Oryzias latipes: one gene and its partner. The protein of the gene in region 1 purifies or fractionates together with the protein of each later gene. This does not show direct contact. Links are inferred from orthologs where the notes say so. Each region holds a gene or a part of one and is shown on either strand. Other genes may lie near its edges.

Region 1 (6,526 bases):
AGAAACTGTTCCAGAATGTACTTTGGTGCCATGTCCACAAGAGACTGTAAAATAGGATTACATTTTCAAGTAAATGTTCAGCGTCTTTGCTTATTTTAGTAATATTTCAATTAGGGCCGTGCATCAAGTTAGAGTCATTGTAGACACTGACTTAAATATCTTAACAATATCAACAATTGAAGGAATAATTTGAGTCTTATACCAAATTTTGATACTTATATATAGTGAGCCTCAAATATATCAAGTTATTTAGCAGTCTGTGTGTACAGATATGTTGTGTTGATTTCACTTTGTGCCCATTGTGCTTTTTTTGTGTGTACACTGGTTAGAGATAAGTCATTACTTTCAAAATAAGATAAAACATTTCTGAAGAATGTGTTATAAAAATATTTTTTTGAATCAGTATCCAACAATGTAATGATCAGGAACCGTTCCAGTATGTAAACTTTAGCAACGATACCCAGCCTTAGTTTTAAATGATTACACATACCTGCTTAGCTGAGGGTGTCATGCCCATCTGAACCACGATGATGGCTCGAGTAATGTTCTCCTCCTGCATCCTTTGACAGTACATCTTGATTGTCTTGATCCCGACCTTGGGTTCCTCTAATCCAGAATAGAAAAAGAATCATTTTGAATAAAGCTTTATTAGGCTTGTTCAGAAATGTAAATACATTCGCTGCTCCCATGTTTGATGAGCCACCCCGGTGAAAACGGTGTTTTTTTAATATGGAGGACAAATATGACAGAATTGAAGACAGTTCCAGTGTGTCTTATATTAAAGTACAACTAATTACGGTTGCAATATTTTCTAACACTGAACCTCTTTGCTATTGCCAATAACTGTGTCTGATCTGCGAAAAAGAAAAATGATAAAAAGAATAGGAAACTGTAAAAAAATATAACCTGTTAGACTCAAATGAAAGGTTGATATTTTCAACTGAACCTTAAATATTGATGGATTACTTAAATTTGTATTTTGACTTGTGAAAGATTTAAAAGAGGAAATTGACTACAGTTGGATATGACATTTATAAAATAAATCATGTAAAAAGTGCCGTTGCGATTGGTAAGGTTAGTGTGTATTCTTCTCATAGAATGGTGTTAAACAGCGTTCAGTTGTCAGCTTTGCTCGTCTAAAACCAGAAGTACGGTGACACAATGGCGCCCATGTCTCTGTTTTGTCTGACGTCACCATGAAAAGGGTCTATTGGCTTCATTTCTCTGGAGCCGGAAGAAAGGCGACGTCACCATGGCTCAATTCTCTAATAAAGTCAATGTAATCTAATGGGAGAGTGTGTAAACAAAAAAGGGATGATGGGATATCAGCAGGGGCTTACGTCCGTGCCAACAGTGATGCCCACACAGGTTTTTATGAATTTGGCTAAAAACAGAGCATTCATAAATATAATACCACTGGGGACTCCTTTAAAAATAAATCGAAATATGATTGGAGTGTAACTTAAACTTTTGGTTATTTTATGGATAAAAGGATGAGTTCCCAAATTATTCTCAAGTATAAACCTACCAGGAAAGAAAACAAACATTTGATCAGTGGGATCATCGTTGTGTGCGACCAAGACTGTAAGGTCCGTCCGTCTGGGACGACCCTCGCTGGGTTTGTCTCCGAATTGACTCTTGAACTCCTCCAGGGTCTGGTCCAACTCATCTTGTGTTACCAGATAGCCTCGATCGTGGCAGAGCTGTGGTTAAAAAAAACAAACAACATTTTAATATGTATAGTGTTGGCCAAAGGTTTTGAGAATTACATAAATATTGGAAATTGCAAAAGTTGCTGCCTAGGATTTTATAATAGCAATTTGCATGTTCTCCAAAATGTTACAAAGAGTCATCAGATGAATTGCGTAGTCCTTCTTTGCCATGAAAATTAAATGAATCCCCCCCCCAAAAATCATTTCAGTCATCGTCTTTTTAACTCAGTTGAGAATGTTGACGAGCACAAGACTGGAGATCATGATGTCAGGCCGGTTGGGTTAGAATGGCAGACTTGACATGTTAAAAGGAGGGTGATGCTTGAAATCATTGTTCTGCCACTGTTAACCATGCTGACCGGCAAAGAAACGTGTGCAGCCATCATCGCGTTGCATAAGAATGGCTTCACAGGCGAGGATATTGTGGCAGCTAAGATTGCACCTAAATCAACAATTTATAGGATCATCAAAAACTTCAAGGAAAGAGGTTCAATTCTTGTTAACAAGGTTTCAGAGCGTCCAAGAAAGTCCAGCAAGTGCCAAGAATCGTCTCCTAATGGGTTTTAACTGTGGGATCGGAGCGCCACCAGTGCAGAGTTTGCTCAGGAATGGCAACAGGCTGGTGTGAGCGCATTTGCATGCACAGTGAGGCGGAGACTTTTAGAAGATGGCCACTTATCCACCCCAAAAACAAACATCAGGGACAGATTGATCTTCTGCAAAAAGTATGGCGAGTGGACTGCTGGGGACTGGGGCAAAGTCCTATTCTCCCATGAAGCCTCTATCCGATTGTTTGGGGCATCTGGACAAAGGCTTGTCCGGAGAAGAAAAGGTGAGAGCTACCACCTGTCCCGTGTCGTGCCAACAGTAAAGCATCCTGAGACCCTTGATGTGTGGGGTTGCTTCTCATCCAAGGAAGTGGGCTCATTCGCATTTTTCTCCAAAACCACAGCCATGAATAAAGAATGGTGCCAAAACTCCCTCCAACAGCAACTTCTTCCAGCAATCCAACAACAGTTTGGCGTCAAACAATGTATTTTCCAGCACGATGGCGCACCGTGCCATGAGGCAAAAGTGATAACTAAGTGGATCGGGGACCAAAATGTTGACATTTTGGGTCCACGGCCTGGAAACTCCCCAGATCTTAATCAATCTGGGTTGCTATCGGTCAGGATTTGGCCCTAAAGTTGATTGACAGCATGCCCAGTCGAATTGCAGGGGTGCTGACAAAGGAAGTCCAACACTGCAAAACCTGACTCTCTGCATAAATGTCATATAATTATTGTCGATTAAAAAAAGCCTAAACGTAATAAAGAGCTGATAACTATATTTCAGTACATCACAGAAACAAAAATCTAAAAGCAGTTTAGCAGCAAACTTTGTGAAAGTGTATTTAATGATTTGAAGCATTCATGTTGTCATACATGTAGTCTACATGTACGAAAACATGTTGGCTTTTTTTAATGGGTCATCATGGGTGTGCTAAAGTTAGCCTTCGTTCAAACGAGGCTAACGAATGCATCATTCCTACACATAATAATTAAAAAAAAAAGTCTGAGCGCGTAATTGGAACGACTTGCACTGAGAATAAGAGATTAACACACAAAACGTAAAAGATTTAGTTACAACTTTAACAATGGCAGTCAAAAGCGACTCTTTAACGCGAGCCACATGTGAAGCTAACAGCTAGTTCGCTGCTAAGCTAGTATATCCTTTTATTTAATCCACCTGCATTATTGTTTTACGGATCTTCCACAGCCGGTAAGTTTCCTCTTCATCGTCCATCCTTTCTCAATTTATTCTCCTTTTCGTATTTTTAAATCACTAATATTCTTCTAAAAATCCGATGGCATCGATGGTTCCTGGCTTGGCCAATATTATATACCACAATGCATTGCGTTTGATCGAGTTGACGTTTAAAAAAACTGTTCTTAAAGAAAAGTCCTCCAGGTTATTATCTTCAGAGCGAATTTATTAAGTCTTCATAAAATGTTCTTAATTATTCGGTATTTTTTTTTAACTTCGGCTAATTGGAAATGTAAATCTGAAGACAATTTACTTATGGTAAAAAAAATAAATTAAAATAAAAATTTGCTTCAGAATTAAAAATCTCTTTCTAAATTTATTTTTTACTGACTGAATTTAGGTTTTAAAAAAGCTTAGTATATTTTGCTAATAATAAATAAATATATCACCTTCTATGTTTTAATTATGACACATTTTATCTATAAAAATAGATAAAATCTTAGAATGTAGACGAGGGTCATTGAGTATAATTTAAGTACGTCATCTTGACTCTTCTTTAAATTAAACTGTTGCAGTGAAATAGAAACTGTCTTTTGGCTGTTTTGCTATTTGTTCATGTATCGCTAGTTATATCGTCATCGCAATATTGATCATTGATATCGCAGAACGCGAGTTTCCTCATATCGTGCACCTCTATCTCCTACCCCCCCCCCTTTTTTTGAACGTTTTGACCTATATTTTATTTTTATTTTTGTTTTGAAAAACCTCATACGTCATTTCCTCCTTGTCTTGTCAAGCATTTGACTCCACCCACTTGAGTTTCACAACACTGGGTGGAAATGAGTCACGTGCGCTTACAATGAACAAAATAGATTTTTTCCGATAACTGGGGCCTTTTTATTATTATTTTTATTTAAGTCGCTGTCAAAAATGAGGCCATTAATTGTTATGTTGACAGTTGGGGCTATAGCGAGCAGCGGAGCACTGCTGGCGATGGTACTGTACTTTGTTTTGTCCACCACGGTAAAGTATTTCTTCTCTATAACCTGATTGCATAGCCTAGCACAGTGCATGCGTTTCCATTGGAGTACATGTATTATTACATGTCTATGCATACGTAGGCATGTCTCCTGTTATTGTTGTGTTTTTGTCATCGTTCTGCTTAACACCTCGTAAGGAGATTTCTCCATAAGCTCATAAACCTCTTATATTTGTTAGCCAGCGAGTTCTGGATGGTTCCGAACAGTCCGGAACAGAACAGACTATAGTCACAAACGCTGGAGCAGCGCCAGCATCCTTCACTCCGTCTGTTCACTGGCACCAGCTGATAAACATATCACAGTGTCAACATTTTAGATGTTTTTTTTTGTATGACGTAAAAAACCTCTGCCTTACTTTTTTATTTTTTTTACATTTACCTTCACATTTTGTATGTTTTGCCATTTAAGAACACATTGCTAAATTCCATTTAGGTTTTTATATGAGTCTAAATACCAAGACAGCTCAGAAGAACAGTTCAAAACAAACACAATGACTGATAAATCGTGAAGTTTCTTATTTCCTGTCGTGGTTTGTTGATCAAATCAGTACATTTAAGATCTCTTTTTTTCTGGGATTAGATTCTTTTCCCTATTAGTTTTAATCATTTGACACAATGTGTTTTTGTTTCCTTTGCCTGGGCAAATGGCTCAGGTTGTCTTGAGATTATGTCAATGCTGTGAACTGTGGACCGCAGTACAAAGGTGTTTTTGATCTGCAGGCTTTAATTGCCAGCAGGAAAGTAGGAAGTGCTGGACAATCCCATCCTATCAGCTGCGTTACAGATCACATGTTTTCTCTGTGAGGACACTGCAACGTGTGCTTTTTGCGTATAAAGCCAGAGTCGCGGGGAGGGGGAATCAGAGATCGGATTGTTTTCTGCCTTTATAGAGGCGAACTGAAGGGCAGCCATGCTCCTGACAGGCTGTACAGTGCTTTTCTCTGTCCTGCTGCAGGTTATGGTAAGAAATGACAGGAGCTGCATTGGACTGGAACCTAACTTTGCCAGCTCTGCTTTTGTTTTGTGTTTTTATAGAATGGATTTGTTCATTTTTTCTTATGTTTTATGTCATGTCTGGTATATTTTTGTTTATTTTTGTGCTGATTTTCACCCAGATTGACATTTTTATGCCTTTAAAACAATGTTTACCTTTAACCAACAGTCCACTCCGACAGAGGACTGGCAGAGGGCCACATCTATTTACGATTTCAATGCAACAGACATCGATGGCAACTTGGTTTCCTTGGAAAAATACAGGTATTTGAGATCAATTCTTTCTCGTTTTGCTCTTCTGGTAAAACGACGATCATCCATTTTCCCGTTGTGTGTGTTTTTCAGGGGGAACGTTGTCATCATCACCAACGTCGCCTCCAAATGAGGCAAAACCGTAGTAAACTACTCTCAGTTTGCAAAGATGCACGCCGCGTATGCTGAGAGAGGTTTACGCATCCTCGCTTTCCCATCCAACCAGTTTGGGAATCAGGTATTTATGTTTTGTCGTCTAAAATTGTGTTTGTGAAGGTAAAATATCCCAAGAGATCAAATTTCCAACTTTCTTTCATAATTGTTGCATTCGTTTTAATAAAGCTTTGGGTGTACTTTACAAATCAGGGTATAGAAAGGATGAAATGTGGATTTGAGGTTGAAATTTATGATGTAAATTTATGTAAAAAGCAGTTGTGCTTTTTTCAAAAGTCCTAATCTTTTGCAGAGTCATAGTTGCAGTTTGTTCATTTCCTTTGGCTGCATGTTTGCCTCTCAGCCAGATAACAGAAACACTAGAAGAATGATTCTTAAAAAACTTTGTGTTTAGTGGACCATGGTCAGGGGAGGGAGGGGAACATTGATTTTTGTGTTTGTCTATTGCTGTTCTGAAGAACTGTACCAATTTAAAGGTCTTTGTATGCTTTTCTTTTATTTTTAAAAGGTTGTTAAGTAAATAATATCTACTAATGTTTTGTAAGTAAGATTTGGTAAACTATGGATGTTTTTGGTTAATACAGGGAAATAATTCTCTTGTTGGTAGCAG
Region 2 (6,425 bases), on another chromosome or scaffold:
CTCTGTGAGAGCTGGAGGCCACAGTTTAGAAAGTTCCTTCAAGTGGCTGACACTCCTTATCTACTCTATATTAGCAGGGTTGAGGAATGGCATGTGCTCTGTTGCTTTAGCTTGCCGCTGTCCCGTCATCGCCTGCCATTCCCAGCAACAACACGGTCCAAATGCAGTCCAGATGTCTGAGCCATCAAGACTTTATAACTCACTACCCTCCATTAATCTCACCAAGCATATGACGGATTCTTGTCTGATAACATCTCACAGGTTCGGAGATGATCAGTTCCTAGAGATGACCACAGCTTCATTGGAAAGTGGTTCCCATACCTCTTTACAGCTTCATTTTAAACTTAAAGAAAACTAAAACTTGAAGATAAAAAGTCAACTACATAAGACTATGTGGTCATTTTGTATTTACAACTGAAAATAGTTATTTCACCTGAATAGACCAAATCACGGGTACATTTTGCAAGAGCAGCTCTTCGGAATTTTCTTCATTCAGAAATGGGAAAATGGCAACACTTTGAAATTTTACTAGTATAAGAAATGTGCAATTAGTTAAAAAGAAAACGTTGTTAAAATTAAGACAGTTTAATTTTTAAACAAATGATGAAACAAAATGATTTTTTTTGCTGTTGTACGCAACACTCATCCTAACCATTTTCTGAACCCACTAAAACCCCTGAGGGTCATGAGGCCGCTGGAGCCTATCCCTGCTACTAATGGTCGAAGGTGGGGTACACCCTGGACAGGTCACTAGTGCAAGGCAGTGAATAATTAATGCACGTTCAAAGCAAATAGACTGTTTGCAAACTTGAAGCACTAGAACATCAGATGCAAACCAACAGCTTCTGGCCTAATCTTTAATCTATCAGATTATCATCTATACCTGCCACACATGCCCTGACACATGTCCCAGCTATCTTCAGGCAAAGGTAAGTCCACATGGGTGGACAAAAGGAAAAACAATGCATGCACCTCCACACAGAAAGGACTCATCTGGGATTCCAACCAAGAACCTTTTTGAGCTCACTCACAATGCAGAATCTTCCCATTTCTCCCTTTATCATATTTCCGTCAAATTTACAGTTTCCGTAACGAAAAAAGATTGGCAGGATTAAGACACACGATTGCAACCTGAAGGTGATTTATGCAGCAGTGCTTCAGGTTTAAAGTATGAACCCCGTTTACTCCAAAATGTTACTGCAATCAGCCAAACATGTGCTATAGAGTTCATGTTTACAAATGAAAAAGGGTTTGTAAAATGCTGTTTGGTGAGTGTTGCTTGATGTAGTTGTCAGTCAGTAATGTTGTCATATAAACTCTAACTTTCACAAAGTCAGATGTTTTTATTCAGCTTACGTCTGCTGGTACAGCTGTAAACAGTCACAATGTCCCAAAAAAGTCAGTTCCACCTGCTGATCAACTTGAAGTGCATTTTTTTAATTTTAAAAGAAAACTTCAACTTAGAAAACCAATTTAGGATTTAACCTCACAGACTCTGGATCAGCTGAAGCTGTTATCTTGACAGAACTTGAGAAGACCTGAGCTAAACAGATCCATCATCCTAACTTAACATTTAGTTTGCTAAGCTCAGTCTATCCACATCTCCTTCATGCTAAGATGCATGAGAGCTCCACATAGTGAGGTCCAAAGCATCTTTGAGCCAAAGGGCCAACGGTTTCCTCAGCTGGTCCTCCAGGATCAGTCCTCCTCTGAGGAAAGCTGTGCTTCTTCATCGTGCACCTCTCTGTAGGCGCCCATGGAGCCGCCGTCAGGGTTGTAGCCCCCCACCGACATTTTTAGTCCCTCAGACAGTTTCTGGGCTGCCAGCTTGGCCTGCAACTCCTACAATCATACACAAGATTTGAAGAAAAAAAACAATAGGAAAAAGTGCATAAAGAGAGCAATAAACACTGAAATATGACTAATAATAATAAGATGATTTGACTCTTGCATTTACAGGTATTGGTCTGCATGTAAAGTCAGTGTCTGAATACTGCCCTCTGGAGTTCTTAAGGGAAAATGACAACTATGAAAAACCAAAATGAAACAAACATCAAATGATGTAGTCAGTGATTCATTAAAAACACATTTCACTAAGATTTTTATTTTACTTTGAACCAATTTATTCACTTTTATTTTCAGTTTTTTATTCAAACCTGCATAACATTTGTCAATGTGTGCTTTTGTGCAATGGCAGATAATAACATTTTGTTTTGAGACCATTTTAACAAAATAATAAAAAAGAATTTATGAAAATGCCCCTGTGGGCAAATAATGACACCTATATTACCATCAGTCCTGCACATATATGAAAACCTCCACAGTAGCAACTGTGCATTGTTAGAAAATCTTCTGAGTGGTCCACAACAAGCCCAAAATGATAGACATCAGTGATGAAGCCCTCTCAACACTTCACAGCCATTTTAAATGGCGAGTCATATTGATGTGTGTGAGAGGTTTCAGTCACACTAACCTGCTGCTTTCTGGTGTGTTCTACAAGTAAGGCAGCGGACTCTTCAAGGGTCAGGAGTTGGGCAGGATTGTGATGAAGAGGAGGGAGTTTGGCCGCAGTGACATCATCCAGGTGTTTCTTGTCCTGCTCCCTCCTGGCCTGAGCGGACAGCGGCGATGCATCTCCAGAGGGCTCACCTGGTGACGAGGATCCTGACGTTGAAACGTCACTTCTGTTGAGCAGCCTGAAAAGAGGGTTAAAACATTTTGATTTTCAAGGAATCCAGATGTTTATCCCTAATAAAACAGACATAAATGCAAATAATATATCAAAGTTTTGAAAGAAATAAAGTAACTTACTGATTTGGTTTGAATTTTTGCCTGATGGCATGTAAAGAGGACTCTCCTCTATTCAGGACAGCAATATAGTGAGGCTTCTTTGGTGTTTGCTTTTGGAGAAAGTAATTGGTTGTTGCTTTGCTGTTAAAGGCTTCTTTGGACTTTCCAGTATTGGACTCGGATACCTGGACCCTGTCCAGGGCTTCCACTAGCTCACTTTCTTTTATCTCTTCAGATTTAACAGAGGGTTCGGCAGCAGATGTGTCCATTTGTTTTTCTAAAGTGGCATCTTTCTTCGTTGGTGCTAAATCAGGTGTGCTTTCCGTTCCTCGTGAGTCCTCTCCTTCCTCATTTTGGTATGAAGGTGCTGATGAGGTGACTCCACGTTGTTGCGAACTGAAAGCTTGCTGGTACTTGGATTGTAAATCGCTCCTTGTAGCAGACAGTAAATCTCGCCTCCTCTCCTCTTCGATGCGCTGTTCAATGGCGAGACGCACGTTGTCTGCAAAATCTTGAATTTTTTTCCCTTTGTCTGGAAGAGTCTGTAATAACCTCCTAAAAAACAACAAACAATCATCTTGTAAAGAACTCATCGAGCAGTTATGTCACATGGCATTTATCACATCTCTGCCTCTTTTTCTAAAACAAACAACAACTTAATCTGTGATTTATACACAACACAATAAGCATCAGTTGATATGGTTTATGATACATTCCTAGCTATTTTGATGCAACCTCGAGGCCCACTGCAATGAAAATTCGGTTTTTAACGTGTTCTTGTGGCATTTTTCTCAGGATAGAGGACATATACATGAAAAAAATCTTGTTGTGATGTAGAAGCTACAGTCGGCAGGCCACAAGCCCCCTCCTCCTCCACGCCATGATGCATCCACTTGTAGGAGACTGGATCCAGATGATCAGAGGGGGACTCTAACATAATCCTCTTGCTATGATTACATTCACTGTTGAAAAGGGACATTTTTCGAGCAAAACATTTGTCTTTGGGAGTAACTTTTTGTTATTAAAAGTTAAAAGATGACTAAGAATAAACAATATAAACGAACATGTAGCATCTGGAATATAAAACATTCGGTTAAAGCCCAAAGTGGGCATTTTAAAATGTGCAGGTTTTACTTTTAATTTCTTAACAGTTGGTATAACGTTAACATGATGGAACCGAATGTGTTGTAACTATTTTTAACTGCTAATATACTATGGTCATTAAACAAATAAAAAAAAACTACAGGAAAATGTCTCTTTTGTCGTCTAATAAAAGGCCAGACTCACTTATTGGAGAGGATTTTTTCCTGTCGCAGCAGCAGCTCCTGCAGTTCTTCTCTGCTCTGGTTCCTCAGGTCTCCAACCTTCCCCTGACGCTGATCGGTCCACGACATTACTGATGGCTACCCGCTTCCAACTGCAGCCATTCCCACACAACGAACTGTAGATTAAAATTTGACTTTAAAACTATACGACAAAAACACTAGAAACAATTTACTAATAAAACAATCCGCTCTACGTGAAACCTTCTTTGAGTTCCACTCATGACAACATTTCAAAGTGGGACCTTCTTCTTCTTCTGCGGAAATTCAACGTCTGCTGTGACGCTCTTTCTCCCTCTACTGTACAGATCACTGTACTGCAGCTCGTTGGCCGTTGGAATAACACATGTAATTTGCTGCCCTCTGCTGGCCAAAGGTGGTCACGACTACCAAAAACGATCATGAGGAGAATTTCCCAATACAGTAAATTCAATTTCAGTTGTACAAAAAAACTAAATTTCCAACCGATATTATCGCAAGGTGAAAAATCTAGGAGAGCAAGAAACAATGAATCAAGTAATTACAATCTCCAGTTTTGTGGGAAAATGACAAAAGATTCAATCACATATCATTTTAAGTGTTTTAGAGGAAATAGTAACCATATGTCTTACTTAACCATTTTATTGAAGTTATCTTTTACTCAGATTACTGTGACAAATACCATGACTCGTCATTGATTGCATGAAGCACGTCACAGCACCAGTGGTGCCCACAAAATAATTTATTTATTTTTTTCTCCAACTACATTATTTAAAATGGTTTTATAATCCAATTTAATCCATAATATTTCATTCGGGTCAAATTGGCTAACTCTAGTTTTTTTTTTTCAATAAGTGACCAACAGATTACATCAAAGAGTATGTGTCGCAATCCTTTATGAGGACGCAAACAGACAATTGTGAAGTGAAAATGTAACAATTTAAGTGGAACAAATGAGAGCGACCGTTTACACTTAGTGGTTTGGATTAGAGGACAGGAAGACATGTAGACAACACAGGGGCAAACACTGCAACCACATGACAAAGACATTCCAGTTAGGAACTGTAAATGTATTAAATGCATTCTTAAAAAAAAACAAAGCAGAAATAAGAAAAGTATAAAGTGAGGCCCTTGTGCTATCTTATGGGGTCCAAATGACCCCACCCTAGCATTGACGTGTTATCCCTACCAGGACAAAGGTAGATAAAGGCGAAGAGGATTTCATGTTATCCTTGGACACCAGTGAAGATTACAAATCATTTAAGAAAAAACGTTCAGCGCACTGTCTTGTGGGGTCCAGATGACCCCACTCCCAATGTCAAAGTGCCTATGATAGCACAAGGGTTAAGGTCATCCAGGTCAAAGAGAACTTTTTCCTTTATCAGAGGAAGGCTTTAGTTGCATTGAAGATAAAGATGGTGTCTGCCTCCAGAATTGAACTGGGGAGTTGGTGCCACAAAAGATGAGCCTGAAAGCTGAAGGCTCTGTTTCCCTCAAAAAAAAAAAGACAATTAATCTCTTGTACCTGTTTGGCAGAAATGAATTAAACTATAAATATATTATCAATAAATCATTCTATCCCAAGAAATAAACAGCACTTTGTATTCATCTTTTCTTATTTGCTTAGTGAAAACAATGCATAGCAATACAATACCATGTCTTTTTTATTTTTTAAATATGACATTTTTTGCTCACGAGATCTTAGTTCTTTGTTATAGTTCAATATTCTGTAGATTTCTTGTTTCTTTTGCAGATCAGACCATCCCATCAGATTCCTTAAACAAAATGCTTAAAACAGGGCAAAAAAACATCCCTTTTGTAGATCCTAGGCTTTTTGTTGATCTTTTCTTTCTTAACCGGTGTTGTCGGTGTAACATTTTCCAGTATTGCATTCTTCTGTTTTCCACAGCTGCATTTCCCCTTTGGAAGGTTTCCAGCCAAAGCGTCAAACCATTTCCACCCAACTCAGCAGACAATGACTTTCACTTCAAGTTCCAGCTGTGTCCCTGACAGTGCAAAGTCCTTAAATCAGTTTTGCATGGGTAGAAAATGATTCTATAAGGATAGCCTTTAGCATAACATACATCATTTTATGAGTTGTTTGCTTTGATCTGCTATTCCCTCTTTAGTGGTCAGTTAAAGCTCCTGATTCTCTTTTAAGGTGGAGGTTCCATGCAAGTTTGCATGTACATTCCATGGACATATTTATTGAAGCACTACAAGAGGGTATTTACAAAATAATTTGAATTTATCTTCACAAAGAAAAAGCTATGTTACAGTAATTCATCAAATCAATTTAATCTTTTTTTCTTCCTTGTGTTTTTAATCTTTCAT

What was found.
Region 2: the proteins of polr2e (region 1) and polr2m purify together in Homo sapiens (affinity purification with mass spectrometry; 3 studies listed by BioGRID and IntAct, counting the BioPlex papers as one, with this or other methods). This does not show direct contact. The link is inferred for Oryzias latipes from reciprocal best matches to the Homo sapiens genes POLR2E and POLR2M.

Annotation. Positions count from the first base shown.
Region 1 is NC_019862.2:26,973,079-26,979,604, reverse strand, and holds the start of polr2e (DNA-directed RNA polymerases I, II, and III subunit RPABC1), read right to left. Parts: upstream 3,615-6,526; 5' UTR 3,498-3,614; coding exon 3,441-3,497; intron 1,704-3,440; coding exon 1,529-1,703; intron 607-1,528; coding exon 491-606; intron 45-490; coding exon 1-44. UniProt on the Homo sapiens protein: DNA-dependent RNA polymerase catalyzes the transcription of DNA into RNA using the four ribonucleoside triphosphates as substrates.
Region 2 is NC_019861.2:21,377,409-21,383,833, forward strand, and holds polr2m (protein GRINL1A), read right to left. Parts: upstream 4,428-6,425; 5' UTR 4,317-4,427; intron 4,232-4,316; 5' UTR 4,185-4,231; coding exon 4,078-4,184; intron 3,346-4,077; coding exon 2,812-3,345; intron 2,697-2,811; coding exon 2,474-2,696; intron 1,843-2,473; coding exon 1,699-1,842; 3' UTR 1,324-1,698; downstream 1-1,323.